Linked DNA regions of Macaca fascicularis. Each later gene encodes a partner of the first gene's protein in a complex. Links are inferred from orthologs where the notes say so. Each region holds a gene or a part of one and is shown in the gene's direction. Other genes may lie near its edges.

Region 1 (3,010 bases):
AGTCAGAAATAGGAATGAAGTATTGATACATAAAACATGAATGAATTTCAAAATTATGCTGAATGAAAGAAGCCAGACAGAAAAGAGTATATACTGTATGTTCATTTATATAAAATTCTAGACAATACAAACTATTTTATAGTTGACAGGAGTGGTTTGGAGAGGGCGGAGGAGGATCATGATGGGGTATGAGGGACTGTTTCATAGTGATAGACATGCTCACATCTTGATTGTGGTGATGACTTCATGGGGGTGTACATATGTCAAAACCTTAACTTCTTGCGGTTTGTTGTATGTAAATTTTACCCTCATAAAATTGACTTAAAAAGTGAAAAAGTCAGCTATCATTAACCTTTTCTTCTCTTTGGTTACCCTCTTTCTTAGTATATTTGATATATCTGACTTTATATGTATTACTTTCAGATGATTCATTCCGGACTCGTAATGCCAGTAGTGTTCCACCTTCCTTTTCTCCTAATACTCCCTTACCAAGTACTTCCCGTGGGACAGGTAACTCAGTTGATCCCAAGAGCAGTGGAAGTAAAGATACACAACCACGGAAGGCTACCTTGTAAGTAATCAAGTGATGTCAGACTGAGTGTATTATCCTACTCTTTTTCTCAACAGACTTTCCTTCCCACTTAAGTACTTTCCAAAGAATAGAAAATGTCTATAATGAGGAAATGTTATAAATTAAAGGGTATTACTGTCACATGTGACTCTGTTATGTTAGTTTATATAGAATAACTTACATTTGGCAAAGGCATTGTAACCTTAGGAAATCAACAGGAAACATTTAAATGGCTCCCACTAATATCTGAAATCTAATTTTTTTCTATGAAATGTTTACATTTAGGGAATTTGTCTCTAAGAAGGCATCCCTTTAAACACCTAGCTTAAGGATATGGTATTTAATCACCCAGTGTGCAGAAAGATGGGTACAGCTGATGTCACGTTAAGAAATAAGTGGCAGCATGGAACCCAGAATTGTGAGTTCAGTAAACTGGAGAGGTTTACAGACTATACTTATGTCTTGAAGTTGAAGTTATAAAGGGCCTCCATTTTCCTTTTCCCCCATGATTCCTTTTAAAGTGCTATTTGTATCTTGTTTGATTTGTTGAAGTCTTTCTTTTAGCTTAAATATTTAAGAAAGGGGTACCATAAAAATCACCTTGATAAGAGACTGTATCAAGTTATAAATGATTCTGCCAGGATACCCAAACCGTAGTTACAAGTTAGCTATTTCATATAGGACACCTGAACCTTCTGGTTGGAACAGACTTTTAACAATATTTAGATGTTCTTTTAAACATATTTTAGTGAATGCATGGGCATTTTTGAATAAAGTTTCTTAAATGCATTCTTTTGCAAAAACTCTGTGCTGGAGTCCCTTTTAGGATCTGATTTAGGCTGTTTTGCATTGCTATAAAGAAATACCTGGGCTGGGTAATTTATGAAGAAAAGAGGTTTAATTGGCTCATAGTTCTGCAGACTTCACAGGAAGCATAGCGGCATCTGCTTCTGGGGAAGCTTCAGGAGGCTTATTATCCTGCTAGATGGCGAAGCAGGAGCAGGCACATCACATGGTAAAAGTAGGAGCAGGAGAGAGAGAGAGTGGGGTTGGGGGAGGTGCCACACACTTTTAAATGATCAGATCTTGCGAGAACTCACTATCACAAAGAAAACACAAAGCCATGAGGGATCAGCCCCCATGATCCAAATACCTCCCACCAGGCCCCACCTCTAGCATTGTGGATTACAATTCAACATGAGATTTGGGCAGGGACAAACATCCAAACTATATGTATTCCAAAGTTTAATTGGTCGTTGGGTATATGCCCAACTTCATTCAAAATTTAGAAATAAGTTTAGAAATAAATTTATTGACTAGCGCTCACGGAAAGAGAACCAATGTACTATTACAAAAACATAATAGTAATAGAAAAAAATGAACATTGATATTACAGGTTAGTGTCAATGCAGAGTGTACTTTTATTTACAGAGAATGCTCTTTAGCTATACAGTTATTGCTCCCATGATTATACTATGGAAGTTCCACTTAAAAGTCATGAAAGGTCCAGGTGCAGTGGCTCATGCCTGTAATCCCAACAATTTGGGAGGCCAAGGCAGGTGGATTATCTGAGGTCAGGAGTTTGAGACCAGCCTGGCCAACATGGTGAAACCCTGCCTCTACTAAAAAAATACAAAAATTAGCCAAGCGTGGTGTCGTGCTCCTGTAATCCCAGCTACTCAGGAGGCTGAGGCAGGAGAATCGCTTCAACTCGGGAGGCAGAGGTTGCGGTGAGCTGAGATCGCGCCACTGCACTCCGGCCTGGGCAACAAGAGTGAAACTCCGTCTCAAAAAAAAAAAAAAAAAAAAAAAGTGATGAAAACAGAGGCAGGACACGGTAATGGTGTATAGAGAGCCTTGTGTGTCTTGTTCCCGGCAGCAGCTAAGTGGCTGTGCAAAGTTCAGCTCAGTGCACTGACCCTCACTGTGCATATCTGTCACATGACAGGGCCGCCTCATGGTTCCTCCTTCTTTAAGGTGCCTTCTAGCTCTGGCATCCTGAAATCCTCTTGTTATTTATTTATTTATTTTTTTTTTTTGAGACAGAGTCTCGCTCTGTCACCCAGGCTGGAGTGCAGTGGTGCAATCTCAGCTCACTGCAAGCTCCGCCTCCTGGGTTTACGCCATTCTCCTGCCTCAGCCTCCCGAGTAGCTGGGACTACAGGCGCCCGCCACTTCGCCCGGCTAGTTTTTTTTGTATTTTTTAGTAGAAATGGGGTTTCACCGTGTTAGCCAGGATGGTCTCGATTTCCTGACCTTGTGATCTGCTCGTCTCGGCCTCCCAAAGTGCTGGGATTATAGGCTTGAGGCACCGCGCCCGACCCTGAAATCCTGTTTATTACCCTAAACCCTCTTCCTCAGAAAAGATTGCCCTGAAATTCTTCTGTTGAAGAGCATATTTAGTAACTTCAAAAGTAATGTATTCTCTTGTCCACTTAT
Region 2 (3,916 bases), on another chromosome or scaffold:
GCGGTGGCTCAAGCCTGTAATCCCACCACTTTGGGAGGCCGAGACGGGTGGATCACGAGGTCAGGAGATCGAGACCATCCTGGCTAACACGGTGAAACCCCGTCTCTACTAAAAAATGCTAAAAACTAGCCGGGCGAGGTGGTGGGCGCCTGTAGTCCCAGCTACTCGGGAGGCTGAGGCCGGAGAATGGCGTGAACCCGGAAGGCGGAGCTTGCAGTGAGCTGAGATCCGGCCACTGCACTCCAGCCTGGGCGACAGAGGAGACTCTGTCTCAAAAAAAAAAAAAAAAAAAAAGAAAGTTGTGGCCGGGCGCGGTGCCTAACGGCTGTAATCCCAACACTTTGGGAGGCGAAGGGGGGGCGGGGGCGGATCACCTGAGGTACGCAGTTCGAGACCAGTCTGACCAACAAGAAGAAACCACGTCTCTGTTAAAAATACAAAATTAGCCCGGCGTGGTGGCGCATGCCTGTAACCCCAGCTACTAAGGAGGTTGAGGCAGGAGGATTGCTTGAACCCGGGAGGCGGAGGTTGCGGTGAGCCGAGATCGTGCCATTGCACTCCCGCCTGGGCAAGAGCAAAACTCCGCCTCAAAAAGAAAGAAAGAAAGCTGTTAAAACATTTGTATAAAATGAAAGGGGAGGTGACTGTTCTAGGGTTTCTAACAGCCTCCACATCGCCCAGCAACAGAGCCCACAAAACTGCCCCTGGCCGCCACCGGGATCCTCCAGCTTCTTCCCCATCTGCGGTTGGGGAAGTGGTGCAGCGGTCGCTGCGAAGGAGGGAGAGGAGCGTGTATGACGCCACATCCGGCGCGCGGCGGAACTGGCTTCCCTTTGCTTCCGCGGCGGGGCCGGAAGTAGAAGCGGCGGCGGCGGTGGCTGCGGCCCAAAGCGGAGTGAAAGAGGGAGGCAGGGAGCCGGAGAGCCGGAACCGGAGTCGCAGCGGCGGTAATATTGCCAGACTCCTCTAAGTCACCGTCCTTAGCGCGGGACCGCGGGGTTCGACGGGAGTTAGCGGGGTTGCGGCCGCGCCGTGGGACGCTGGGGGGTCCTGAGGCCGATGTGAGGGGAGGCGGGGGTGGGGGAGCCGGGCCGGCTCTAGAATCGAGTTGTCCGCCCCGCGCCCCGCACGGACACTCTGATCCGCGGGCTCGTCTTGGCCTTTCCCAGGAGACCCCTGTGCGGTGCGGAGGGGGCGGCGGCCCCGACTCTGACCCGCGCCGGGGGTGGGCCATGGCGGAGATCAGCGACCTGGACCGGCAGATCGAGCAGCTGCGTCGCTGCGAGCTCATCAAGGAGAGCGAAGTCAAGGCCCTGTGCGCTAAAGCCAGGTGAGCCCATTGGCCCTGGGGAAGGGAGGCCAAGCCGCCGCCCACGGGTTCTGTCCTGGGGCAAACCCAACTGAGAACTTTGGGCTTGCCTCGCCCTGGAAGCTTTCCCAGAGAGGAGCAGGATGGAACCGCTGCCCTCGAGGAAAAGCTAGCCTGCTCGGGGAAGACAGAGCGGATAAAGACACTTAAAGTATTAGACGATGTGTTTCCAGTAGAGTAAGAATGTTACGTAAAGTACTTAGGAAACTCAAGGAAACAAGTCCATCTGTCGGGGGTCGGAAGCTTGTTGGAGGGGGGCCGAACTGTGGGACAGTCCTCGAATAAGGAGGTGGTAAAAGAGCCAAAAATCAAAGATTTAAGACAGGAAAGTTAAAGACCCTGTGATTTATAAAAGTCCTTTAATTACAACAACCCTTAAAGGTTGGTGGTATTGTACTCATTTTACAGGTGAGAACTTTCATGTTAAAAGTTACCCACAAGTAGGGAATGAGGATCGGAAGCCAGCTCTTAGTGTCCCGTCCTTTTTCAGGCCATAATGCAAAAAGGTGTGGAGTTGGATTACTCACGTTCAGGGTGGGAGCCTGAGAAATCGTAGCAAGTAAGCTAGGGTAAAATTAAGCATGATAGGGAGGGAGGCCAGTTCAGAGTTCTGTGGGAAGTAGGATGAAGCAGTGGTTAAGGCTCTGGGTTTTGCAGTGTGAGATGGCTCTAGGTTTGAATCTGAACTCTGCCACTTTCTAGCTGTGTTAGTGATCTTAAGGTGTCTTTATTTGTAAAGCGGAGTTAATAGTACTTAATAAGATGGTTGTGAAGGTTCAGTGAGTTGGTGCTTGAGATGAGGTTAGCACAGTGTCTTGGTACAGCATACGTGCTTGATAATCACCAGGTATTCTATTTCTCTTGGAAGAGGGCAATAATGAGATGGGTTAAAGCCATCAGGGAAGGCTTTTGAGTGGAGGTAGGCCTTGAAGGATGAAGATAATTTGGCTAGCTGATGGAGGCAGGGCCAGTGAGGGAAGGGCATTCCAAGCAGAACGAATGTAACAGTGGAGGCCCTGAGATGTATGGGGAACAGTCAGGGGTTTAATTATTACCTGCCTCCTCTGGGGCACTGTGTGATTGTGGCTTCTACCAGGCTGGAGAATTGTGGCAGAAGAACCCGCAGAATTACCCTATGTTTATTGAACAATAAACATTGGCCTTTATAGGGCCACTGTTGGCCTGGCCCTGTACTGGTAAAAAAACTTTTGTCCATCTCTTCCCCCCAGCAATCCTGTGAGGTTGGAATCATTTGTTCCATTTTATCACACAGGAAGCCATGACTCGTAGAGGTCTGGTGACTTGACTGAGGTCACCCACTGAGGACGTGGCAGAGCTGGGTCCTGAATCTGTGGCCCTCAGGCTCTTTGCTTGGCCCTGCCCCACATAGACTCCCTGCAGCCAGACAGGGCCTGTGAGGGGATGTTGAGCAGGGTCGGCCTCTTTTTCACCACCCGTCTGTGGCTTTTCTCTTTTGCCAGCTCAAGAAAATGTCCCTGACCAGACTAGCCCCACGGTGTTTTTAGTTTTTCCCTCTCCCTCAGTCCTGATTGGCATTTTTAGGAACTTATACCTGTTATTGCGTGGCTCTGTTCTTTAACCCTGAAGTCTTATCTCCGTCACAGGCCCTGAATCAGCGTGGTGGTGATGGTAGGCAAAGCTTGGATAGCATGCTGGAGTTTGCAGAATAGCAGGAAGTTATGTATTCAGTCTCCATGGCTCCTTGCAACAGCCTAAGGAATAGGCAGGGCGGGCTGAGTATTTAGCCCCATTTCATAGCAGAGGAAACTGAGCCTCTGAGTAGATAATGTCTTGTCCAACTCACGCAGCTAGTCGGAGGGGAAGTTAGTTTTGCATCCAGGTCTTTGACTGTGCTCCGTGGTCACTGAGAACCAGGCAGAGGCATTTAGGTTTTGATGTGTGGTGTGAGGCAGCAGGGAGCCATGGAAGACTGAGGGGTGGAGGGTCCTGCCCAGTTGAAACTGAGTGAAACTAGGAGGTACTAGGCCAAGGCTCAGTCTGAAGCGGGGCCCGCTCTGATACCTGGTTATGGCCTCCTGGGGACCCAACAGAGACCCAGGCTGAGGCTGGTAGTGTCAAGAGCACCAGCTTGCCCAGAGGGCACAGAGATGCAGGTGAAACCCGTGGAAACACAGAGGTCCGCAGTGTCTGAGCTGAAATTGCTGCTCCTAGAAATACTAGCACAGAAGAGCTGAGCTTTTGAATCAGGTGGTCTTCAGTATGAATCTTTGCCTTGTCACCTAGAAAGAATATGACCCTTGTCAAGTCACTTTCTGATTTTTTGAAATGATAATGACATGCAGTTGAGAGTCCGGGTATCTGGGCACAGGGCCTGCTGCGCTGGTAGCTGTTACTGCAGGCAGGTCATGATAGGGCTGGTGAAGTACTGCAAGTGACAGAACTGGGGCTGGAATCTGGGCCTGATTCCCAGACCATAATGGGGTCGTGCCGGCACTGAGGGGTGTTTTTCCGAGAGCACGGTCCCTGCATGTGACCTCCCTGGGTTTCAGGTTTTCACTCAGGGTC

What was found.
Region 2: PPP4R4 (region 1) and PPP4C share a complex: the UniProt entries of both Homo sapiens proteins name them as parts of the PP4 complex. The link is inferred for Macaca fascicularis from reciprocal best matches to the Homo sapiens genes PPP4R4 and PPP4C.

Annotation. Positions count from the first base shown.
Region 1 is NC_088381.1:162,302,505-162,305,514, forward strand, and holds part of PPP4R4 (serine/threonine-protein phosphatase 4 regulatory subunit 4), read left to right. Parts: intron 1-423; coding exon 424-571; intron 572-3,010. UniProt on the Homo sapiens protein: Putative regulatory subunit of serine/threonine-protein phosphatase 4.
Region 2 is NC_088394.1:28,019,634-28,023,549, reverse strand, and holds the start of PPP4C (serine/threonine-protein phosphatase 4 catalytic subunit), read left to right. Parts: upstream 1-858; 5' UTR 859-947; intron 948-1,169; 5' UTR 1,170-1,232; coding exon 1,233-1,330; intron 1,331-3,916. UniProt on the Homo sapiens protein: Protein phosphatase that is involved in many processes such as microtubule organization at centrosomes, maturation of spliceosomal snRNPs, apoptosis, DNA repair, tumor necrosis factor (TNF)-alpha signaling, activation of c-Jun N-terminal kinase MAPK8, regulation of histone acetylation, DNA damage checkpoint signaling, NF-kappa-B activation and cell migration.